2 linked regions of the Arabidopsis thaliana genome follow. Changing the gene in region 1 together with any one later gene gives a genetic interaction. Each region holds a gene or a part of one and is shown on either strand. Other genes may lie near its edges. The genes, in order: MYB30 and BRI1.

What was found.
Region 2: of MYB30 (region 1) and BRI1, changing one enhances a phenotype caused by changing the other (phenotypic enhancement), as found in Arabidopsis thaliana (one study listed by BioGRID).

The regions. Positions count from the first base shown.
Region 1 is NC_003074.8:10,908,967-10,913,711, reverse strand, and holds MYB30 (myb domain protein 30), read right to left. Parts: upstream 2,581-4,745; 5' UTR 2,270-2,580; coding exon 2,137-2,269; exon of another isoform or gene 1,811-2,136; coding exon 1,681-1,810; intron 1,565-1,680; coding exon 856-1,564; 3' UTR 522-855; downstream 1-521.
Region 2 is NC_003075.7:18,322,837-18,329,640, reverse strand, and holds BRI1 (Leucine-rich receptor-like protein kinase family protein), read right to left. Parts: upstream 5,185-6,804; 5' UTR 4,816-5,184; coding exon 1,225-4,815; 3' UTR 810-1,224; downstream 1-809. Other genes in the region: PLS (polari), read left to right, coding at 342-452. UniProt on the Arabidopsis thaliana protein: Receptor with a dual specificity kinase activity acting on both serine/threonine- and tyrosine-containing substrates.

The sequences.
Region 1 (4,745 bases):
TGTAAGTCACACAACTCACAAGGTCACAAGAAAGAAAGTCAAACTTTAATTCTTCATCACTTTCAATATTTATAGTGCCAATCCATCCCGTTTTTAAAATTTATATTTATCTTTTTATAATTAGTTTCTTTAAACCTTGTCGGCCCTATTTATTTCATGCAATAAATATTTCGTTAATTTTTCTTTACTAGTACTATTTTCTTTATTAGTAGGTCTTTCAAATTCACCAATAGTAAGGCTATCTTTAAATCTAAGATTTCATTTATTGAGCGGCGCCATTTGACACTCTAAAATAAATGTTAAGTGTTTTCCTTAGTGAGTTAACGGTTAATTTAAGGAAAATAAATTGACAATTAAGTGCAAGTTGTAAGTATTTGATTATTAATTCTATATCCCACACTTACTAGGCTACTACACATTAGGACTAATTAATCCGGATATGAGCGAGCATTTTTTGGTCATTCTCCAATATATATATGTAATTTTTTTGTCAGTGTATGTTTAATTTGTAACAGAATTACTTTTAGGTTAACATCTCAAAAGTAAATCATACTTACAAGTTACAAAGCAAAAGAAAAATCAAGCAATAACAACATTTTAATAAATAAAAAATAGATATAGGATTTTACACCAATACTACTAAAATCATTGGGTGGACATTTTTCAGGCCCCTTCAGAATTCACAGGGCCATATATAAAACAACCCCATCATTAATTGTAAATTAAAGAGGGAAAATAAATAAAATTATTACTGATTTATCTCACGATAATCTAAGCGAGTTAATTTGGAAAACCCAAAAAAAAAAATAGAGATGAGGATCCTAAAATTAGAACCATGTGATTAAAGCAAACTCTTCAGAAGAAATTAGTGTTTTCATCCAATAGAATATCACCAATCTGTCCACCAGAATCCTCAAACAACCACTTCTCAAACAAAGACCATTGACTTTGGTTACTGCAGCATCCAGTTATGTCTGGTTTGGTCTCATGATCAGGTGAAACACCAGCCTGTTGATATGAGTGATCAAACTCAGAAAATGACTGAAATGCCCCTGCACACTCCTTCCCATCATCACTCTTGATCACTTCTTTTACCTCTGTAGAAGCGATTTGATCCGCGGAGTTTTGAGTCTTCGGCGAGTTTTTCACCCACCCTTTGAGCAATTTCGCGATATTTTCGGTGCTTGAGGCATAAGTTGTAGATGTTTCTTGCGTCCTAAGAAACCCGCTAGCTGAGGAAGTAGAGCGTCTTGATTCAGCAGAGGAAGACGTTGTTGTCACTGTAGATGTAATGATTGGTGCAACGGCAGGAGATAAAGCCTCAGAGAGAGCCTTTTTCGCCAAGTGGATATCGGTTTGAAGTCGCCTTTCCCATTGGCCTCTTGAGATGTTTGAGTTGGAATTAGCAGAAGAAGACGATGGTGAAGATGAGAGCGAGGAACGGTCAAGTTCTTGATGAGAATCTTGATTGACTTTGTTGAGTTTCTTCTTCAAATGAGTGTTCCAATAGTTCTTAATGTCATTGTCTGTCCTTTGTGGAAGATATGACGCAATTGCAGCCCATCTACACCAAATATTAAATGCTCTCTATTAAAAATCAAAACAAATCTTCTAATTTTCGAAAGAAAATGTGTGAAGAGACAAAATTAGAGAAATTGAAAAGTCATTATTATTTTTTACCTATTTCCTAAGAGGGCTTGGAGATGAACAATCATCTTTTCTTCATGTTCTGTGAAATTGCCTCTTTTGATTCCTGGCCTTAAATAGTTTGTCCATCTAAGTCTACAACTCTTGCTGCATCTAAGCAGCCCTGAAAATTTATAAGAACGAACAAATATTGAGAACCGATGAGAAAATATATAAATAACAAGATCTCATGCATTAGATCTTAATTTCATGGTCAATAAACAAAACCCTAATTTCTACATATGTTTTCATTAAGCTGATTCCACAATCTTAAAGACCTAAAGAAGAACCAAATGAAGATCAAAACCAATTTGGAGAACACAAATTTCAATCCAAACCAATTTGATTCCTTGTCTATCTCTCACTCTCATAGATTAAATCCAAATAATATCTACATACAAATCTATAGAGAGGTAGAGAGGAGAGATGATGAATGAAGATTATACATACCAGTATTGGTAGGAACAGCTCTCCAATTACCAGGACCATGTTCTTGGATGTAAGTGACTAAAATGATATCTTCTTCAGGAGTCCATGGCCCTTTCTTCACTCCTCCTTTGTCACAACAAGGAGGCCTCACCATTATGATCTTGAACTCCCTTAATTAACTAATTAATTCTTTATTAACCACTCCCTTTGTTTCCCACTATAACTCTTTGCCAAGAAAAATAGAAGAAAATTGAAACTACTTTAGGTGGTAATGAGTCACACTACCCTTAGTACACTAATTAGTACGCTTAGCTCTGAAATGGATCTAATGGTTAAGCTTGGCGACAAAGGTCTATGTCCACTTCTTCTTCTATATATATATATAAAAGGAGAAAGAGAAATTTGCTGACCCCTCTTGGTCTTGGACTCTTGGGTCTCTCAAATTGTATAGATAATAAATAAAAGTATATAAAAAATGTGTAAAGCATTAACTACAAAAGTGGAGGTAAAGCCTCCAAAGTCAGCTGTGTGGCAAAAGGAAAAGTCTCTACCCTCCATACAAAACCGCGTGGCATTCAATGTGGGCTTGCTTCTTTCAAAAACCCTAATAACACAAACAAAAAAAATATTATTGGGTTTAATAATTTATTGGTTTATGTTATTATTAAAAAATAAAGAATAATGGGGACATGCATGATAACATGATAATGATATATGATATGATATCTCCCTCTCTCACTTTTGATTTATTGCTACGATAATTTTAAGAATTGAATAGTGGCTATTGCATTTATGTGTATTGCATAGGCTTTGTTAATAATAGAAATTAATGAAAGGGTCTTTTGACGAACGAGATTTTCTCTGCGTCATGATTTGCTGTTTTGGTTGTTTTTTTATCAAAACGAATAGTTTTTTTTTTTAAGATATAGAAGAAAAGAAAAAATTGCTGTTTTGGATTGAACCAGTGGGTCTTTGGCCATTGTCAAACTACATGATGGTCTACGTCATTCATGATGTTAGCGACTTCTCCATATATAGATTTATATGCGTTTATATGTATTACGTTACATAAACATATATGAATACATGATGTTGAACGTTTTATTCGGGTAAGGTTCGCGATTAGTGTTAATGGACCACAATTTGAGTTTATAGTAAACATAGTTTTAGATGGAATTAATTGTACGTTACATATGTCGTTATCGTAGGTGGTGAAAAGAAATATAGAGATATTTGTATGAGAATTTGGTATACAAGATAATGAAGATTTTTGGATTTGATAGACACAAGTCATACAGCCACATTAAGTTTTGATGAAATTAATTGTACGTTATATATGTCAATATCGTAGGTGGTGAAAAGAGATTAAGAGATATTTGTATGAGAATTTGGTATAGTAGATAATGAAGATTTTGGATTGATAGACACAAGTCATATACAACTATATCTATTTATGTGAACATGTGTATGTATGTAAATGTCAACAAGTAAAAAGGATGAAATCAATTTGGTTTTCACGAGGCCGGAAGAAAAGGAAGAAGAAGAGACACGAGACTACTTTAATTTCTTCTCTTTTGTCAATGTTGTGCTATAATTTATTTATATAGGTAGGAATTTTGAATGACAATTTGTACAAGTGTGAAATTTTCACTTTGTGGAAAGTTTATGATTTACGTTAGATATAATAATAAAGTTGTGTTAAACAGGCTGTTTAATCAAACATATGGAATGAAACTCGAAAAGGTTTTTGTCTACATAACCACTTTGAAAATGCATGGTCTTTCTTTAATCATAAACAAAACTGCTTAAGTATGTTTTTTTTCCACGTACAATGTCCCGTTTTCTGTTTAACCATTAGTAAAACGGTAAGTAGATATCTTACTGTTTTCATTTGTATTATTTTTATTTACTAAGAAGTAATTTTTATCCATTAAAAATATAGATATATTTTTTAAAGAAATATTAAATTATATTCAAAGAAAAATAACATTTGTACCGTGAAATTGAAATGAGGTACAAGAATTTGCTACTTAATTTCGAGAGTCGAACCAAGTTTGTAATCCTTTGTAATTTTGTTTTGTTTACAGGTTAGATTCGTATCTTTTGGATTTGAAATTTTTTTAATTTTTTTTTTACAAGTTCATCATTACATTGAATTATCACTCCTTGCCATAATATTTTAGTACCAAGTTGCAAATCCGAATTTTTATTGAATGTAATTATGTAATACGAAAATTCGACGGCCACAAAAATGGGAGATGTATACTTTATAATATATTGTAATAGATTTGGTATTTTCTTTTACTAGTATATATTATTTCACATAACGCATTCAAGTGTAAGGATATGAATCATCATAATAAGTATGGAGGTGGAATATAAAGAGGCATAATATTCTTGAAAAATATACATAAGAAATGATTTGAGATTACGATTTATATTAAATGACAACTTCTTAATAACATGGAATGCATGTGTGATGTATGGATGGTGCTTGTGATGTAGGGACGGGACAAACACATTTTCCAGCGTAAAATACCTATTTTTAATTTGTATATAAAATAAGAAATAAATAAAACTTTAAGCATTAAAATAAAAATATTAGGTACTACTAAAAAATTTTCCAAAAA
Region 2 (6,804 bases), on another chromosome or scaffold:
TAGTATATAAGAAGCATGTATTTATAATGTTCCACTTAATATATTAGTATTGGAGACTAAAGCGAACATATAAAACCCAAATAAACCTTTCTTTAAGTTTTATTAAAAGTCTAAACACTTGATTTGTGTTTTAGTTTGGGTAGTAGTGAGAAAAGAAAAATAAATAATCAAAAAGATTAAAGAAGAAAGAATTTGAAAGCAAGGAACACGAAATCCGAAGAGCGAGGGGAGCGAAGACAGTCCACGTAGCTGCAGAGAGAAAGAGAAGAGCACGTGAGGCACACGTTCCTTGTGTAAGACTTGTTGTGGTGATGTTGGCGCAGTGTCTCACTGAAACATGAATGAAACCCAGACTTTGTTTTAATTTCAGGCGAAGGTCCATTTCTCCATGTTATATATCAATCTCTTATTTATTAGTAGCAAAATTGTTTAAACTTTTTAAAATCCATTGATCACCCTATCATTTTCAATATCTACATACAATCTTATGTCTCGATAAAGGTTTATCTTTATCTTATTATGCAATACATATCCCTCCCATTTCTATATTGCAAATTATGACATCAAAAAACCATTCTTTTGATTCTACTTGGGCCAATAACAAAATCAATAGTAATGGAAAAAATAACGTAGATGGATATAAATATAGTCCAACGGTTCAATTTCATCAGTAATAAGTATATAGCAAAAAAAAAAACGTTTAACTCAGCATAGTTCAAAAGGGACCACATTGGTCATGTAAATATAACATCCATAAAAACAAATTTAAGTCTCATCTATTCTCACTTTCCCATTCCCGTGCAGTGTGAATTCCCCAAATTAATTCCGACAATAATGAATTAATAGGTCACGTGCATTTACATGAACATGATCAGTCGAAATTTAATACACATTGGCTCTTTGTTTCTTCATGATTCATTATAAATTTAATTTGTTAGCAACGTAGAAATTTCCATAGAACTAAAAACGAAAACATTACAAATCCCTCCCCAAAAAACTGTATATTTACATATTCTTAACAAAGTTATTACTTAGTTCTATTCTCCACCACCCCCAATTCGACCGAGCCCGAAAAAAAAAACATCCGTCTTATGTATAAATAACATAGATACATACACTTAGCATATAGTAGAAAATACAAAAAAAATAGACCCAAGGAAAATCGGACTGACCCTTAGATGATTTTGATGTTCAAAGAATCTGCTTTGGCTCTGTTTCTAACTCTCATAATTTTCCTTCAGGAACTTCTTTTATACTCATATCAACCATCTCTATTGTACTGAACCCTCCATCCTCTATTGATCTGATCGTTGACTGTGAATCTATCCCTGACCCGGCTTGTATCTCCTTAAACATGGCCATGACTTGTACCATTGTCGGTCGTCTCCAAGCCCGATCATCCAAACACGCAACCGCAACTTTTAAATGTTGTAAAAGTTCGATCTCTAATGCTGGATCTTCCTTCATAAGCTCGGGGTCAAACACATCGCTAATCCGCAGTTTTGCGTGCTGTTTCACCCATCCAACAAGGTTGTTATCTCCAAAATCCGGTGAATCCGTTGGCCGTTTACCCGTGAGTAGCTCGAGTAAGACCACACCGTAACTATAAACGTCTCCTTTTGTTGAACACCTGAAACTTTGGTAATACTCTGGAGGAACGTAACCCGGTGTACCAGCTAATGTACTGACGCTTAAATGCGTATCCATCGCACTCATCAGCCTCGCCATGCCAAAATCTGAAACCCGAGCTTCCAAATTCTCATCAAGCAACACATTACTGGATTTCATGTCTCTGTGGATGATATGCGGACTGCAGTTGTGGTGAAGGAAAGCAAGCCCTCTAGCTGATCCTATCGCAATCTTCCGCCGTGTGGACCAGTTTAGTTTCACCCCAGCTTTCTTGGGGTCGTGCAAAACATCTTCTAAACTTCCATACTTCATAAACTCATACACAAGAAGCCGCTCGTCTCCAACTTTGCAATAACCAAGAAGAGGCACAAGATTTCGATGTTTGATCTTCCCAATGGTTTCCATCTCCGCCATGAACTCTCTATCACCTTGACCGCTAACATGAATCAGTTTCTTGATAGCCACCGCGCTTCCATCTTTCAAAATCGCTTTGTAAACATCTCCAAACCCACCAGAACCAATCAGACTATCATTATGGAAACCATTGGTAGCCTGAAGAAGATCCGCAAACGTGAGCTTCCGCAATGGCTTCTCGAAAGCAGCAAGATTGATACTCAAGGCTTCTTTCACACCAGTCAGCTTCCAATTGGTGTTGTTAGCAGTTCTATCGCCAGAGTTTCCATGTCCTTCCGCATACATCTCCAACTCCGCCTCTTTCTTTCTCCGTCTCTTCCTCATCTCTCTACCAACAAGGATCAGCCCAAATATACACACAAAAGAGAACAACAATCCCATCGCCACACTACCAGCAAGGGACGCTGGTCTCCTTCCATGAGATCTCTGATGATGAGCATAACCGTCTGCATTTGAAGGATCACACCGCGGAAGAGGATAACCACAGAGACCAGGATTGTTCAAGAACTTAGCCGGTGGAAAAGTCTCAAACTGACCCATCTCAGGAATCGGACCAGACAAATTATTATTCGACAAATCGATTTCCGTAAGCATAGTAAGAGCTGACATAGCCTGAGGAATCCTCCCATCGAGCTTATTGCTTGAAAGATCAAGAATGTTTAAACCTCTTAGATCACCTACCTCATCAGGAATCGAACCAGAGATATCGTTATGACCCAAATTGAGAATAAACAGATAAGGCATCGAACCAATCTCCTTCGGTATGTATCCAGACAACATGTTGTAAGACATGTCCAGAAACATCATCGAACCATTGTTATCAAACGTCGGCGAAGTGTGACCTCCATAGACTCTGCTAGTGATATTACAAGGGTTCCTCGTTGAAAGCCGGTTTAATTGTTCGGATCTGATTCCTTGAAACTCAAGTAAATTACCAGCTCCATGACACTCTTTCTTCATCCCATCGTTTTTGATATAAACGTACCTCTTACCGGCGATGAAATTGGCAGCGATTTTCCCGGATTGTTTAAACATCGCCGCCGGAATCGTTCCATTGAAGAGATTGGTGTTGAGATCAAGCCAGATTAAGCTTCTGCAGTCGCCGAGCTCAGCCGGAATGTTCCCGGAGAATGAATTGTTGCTTAGCTTGAGGATAGCGAGATTCTCTAACCGGCCAATCCATTTCGGAATCTCACCGGTTAACCGGTTATTCGACAGAGAAATCCAGTTAAGATTGGTACAGTTACTTAAACCGGAAGGGATTTCACCGGTTAAATCGTTGAAGTCGAGGATCAGAGTCTCTAAGGTCTTGACATACATGAGCTCCTGAGGGATCTCTCCTTCTAACATATTCAGCCATAGTTTCAGATCTCGAAGCTTCGATAGAGAGCCTAAGCTCGAAGGGATTGTCCCGGAGAGGTAATTGAAGCTCAAGTGAAGCGAAACCAGCTCAGAACAGTTGCTTAAAGTCGGTGGAATCTTCCCGGTGAAGCCATTGTTCTGAAGGTAAAGCTCCTGCAGAGTGTTTTTAGGGTTCTGGCAGAGATTTGGGAGAATCGGACCGGAGAAATTGTTGGAGCTGAGATCTAACGTTAGCAACGAAGCGGATAGATTCGTCAGAGATTCCGGTAATTCGCCGGAAAACTCGTTGAAAGACAGATCAAGTACTTTGAGTCCTCTCATCTTCAACAACGTATCCATCGGTAACTCGCCAGAGAAGTTGTTACTCGACAACGCGAGTGATTCGAGAAGAGAACATGAACCGAAGAATGGAGGAACCGCACCGTAGAAATGATTTCCAGAGAGATCGAGACCAGTGAGTGTATCACACGCGCCGGAGAGAAAGTCAGGGATCTCGCCGGTGAATTTGTTCTCGGCCAGAGAGAGGTATTGGAGACTTTTAAGCGGTAGCGGAGGGATTGGTCCGACGAATTGGTTACTAGAGATGTTCAACAACTTGAGCTCTGTGCAAGTAGAGATAGCACGGGAGAAATCGCCGGATAATTTGTTCCCGGAGATGTCAAGATGTTGCAGAGCAGAGCAATCTCCGAGGAAAGGAATCCCAGTGGAGAAATTGTTGGAGGAAACATCGAGAAACTCGAGATTCACGCAGCGAGAAACATCGACGTCTCCACTGATTTTGTTTCCGCTAATCGCTAAATGTTTCAACTCTCCACACCCATCGGAGAGAACCCAACCAACGACGTTAGCACCGGAGATTGAATTCGCAGAAAGATCCAGAACTTCCAAGCTGTTTAGCTTCAACCCACCTGAAACTTTCCCGGGAAAATCAAGTGTATTGGAAGAGACGTTAAGAAACTTCAGACCGGAGCAAGAACCAAGGCTTGTTAGAGTCGTTACAGGACCCGAAAGAGAGTTTCTAGATAGATCCAAGCTGGTTAAAGAAGCAGAGCACTTGAAGCCAGAAACGGAGCCATTGATGTGTGAGTTTGAGAGAAACAGAGACTCTAATCCGGTGAGAGACAGGAGAGACGAGGACACGGCACTGAATCCGACGTTGAGAGGCTTGGAGCTGAGATCAATCGAAGTAACTTTGTCGTCTCTGCAAGTAACGCCATCGAAAGTACACGGGTTTTTGTTGGAAGACCAGTCTGGGAGAAGATTCTTGTCAGGAAGAACGTCTTTGAAGCTTATAAGCTGATGGATTTCTCTGTATAAAGACTGAGATGGTGAAGCTTGAAATGAAAGAGAAAAGAAGGAGAAGAAGAAGAGAGTTGTTACAGAGAGAAAGAAGCTTGAAAAAGTCTTCATTTCTCAAGAGTTTGTGAGAGAGAAAAGTGTGGGAAGTAGAGAAGATGAAAGGGGGAATCTAGGGTTTTGGTTCCACCATTAGAGAGGAAGTGGAAGCTCTAGAGATAGAAAGAGAGAGATTGAGGAAAGCAGAAAGAGAGGAGAGAGAGAAGAGAGTCAAAAGACAGAAGAAGGAAGATGGAAGAAGGTATTTATCAAATGGTGAAGGGAAGAGTGGTCACAGCTGTGCACTCACATGCCATGTTACCTCTTCTTCTGATTATTATAAAAATTATATATATTAATTTCAATTTCGATAACAGATACAAACAAATAATACTACTTTTAATTATTGTATGTGGTTATAAAAAAAAAGTTAATTAATGCAAGAGGATACTAAAAATAAATAAAATAATGGCATCACAAAATCCTTAATCTCATAGTAGCTTTTGTTAAGTTTAAGTTAAAGAAATGAGGTATTTTGTCTGTACATGAGAGAGGTGTTTAATTAACGTGAGATTAGGGGATGGGATCAAGTCTTCTGCAAGCTACATATCCTACTTACCCTTTTTAAACTCTTCTTAAGACTTTATTGTAACATTTGTATACATTTTACCCCCAACCACCTATCTCTTGATTCTCTTCTCAATATTTTTAAAACACAAGTCTAATCTGATCTTCTGTTTAGTGCTGGGTTTTTTTTTATAATAAGCATATATATTCATTGATTTTTATTTTTATTAAAAAAAAAATCAAGATAATTCATGTTATATTTTTCTTCTTACTTGGTTGGATCTTGATCGGTGAATTATTGGTGTATGCACTCACTGTCACCCAATATGCAAAACTTTTGATTCTGATATAAAGATGCCAGCAACTAACTAATTCCACATTTATGGACTAATGGTTAAGTAGTGTTCAGTAAAAATGGAACATAGTATAAGCATCTAAATTTCTTTTATATTGATACTCATATACAACAAGATTTGGAGCATTCAATGTGATAGTTTGAAAGAGTTCAAATTTACTTTAATGTTAAGGTAATACATACATATTTTTACATGAATTTCACACCAACCACAAACATTTCACATTAACACTCTTCTCTTGTTCACTCTCACTTGTATCTGAAAGAAAAACTAAAAATAAAGTGGAGGAGAGATTGTCTCTATAGCTTTTTGCAAAAGAGAAACAAAAAAAAAAACGAACGTACGTGTGAGAGACGATTGGGACATGAGTGTCAATTAATGGCAGATTCCATCTCTTTTTAATAATCAGAGAAGTATTATTATTAGTTTTCGATAAACCTTTTCCCACTAATTAATCCCTCCTTTCACTTTTAAACTGCTTTCTTTTTCTCTGGCACTTACATAGACGGATAGACCAAACTTCTCTTAAAGCCTTATTCTATTATTTTTTCCTTCTGTCGCAGTTTTATAGAGATATTTCGTAATTATGTACAAACCCTACGTGCAGCTGTACCCGGTGTATACATAGTTACATAATTAACAAAAAATTCACTTTATACACATAGTTTTGGGTAACAGGAACTTGACTACTTGAGTAGTAAACTTTTCAATTAAATTCGAGATATGTTACTATCACTTTAACTTTTGTAGAGAAAATGTCGTCTGCAATGGTAACTGGTTTGAAGGTTCAACTTTCAGCGAATAATACTGCGATACCATTTTCAAATAAAGAAGGAAGATCATAGAGAATGACATTTGTGTAACTATCTATCGCAAGTGTAACACTTTTTTTGGAAGGTTTGTATAAGTACAATTGAACAGAAAAACAAACAACCTGATAGAATACTATATTGGTACAAGTAACTTTTTAAATACAAACTGAATGAAAAGTATGTTTAGTGATGTATTAATTTCGTATAATAGAACATTTTATTCTATAATGTCATCATAATCAAGCAAAACGCCAAAATAGTGTAATGATTCTAACTTCCAAAAAAGGGACGAAACTGTCCTCCCCACACTCTCATTTATAAGCGCTCGT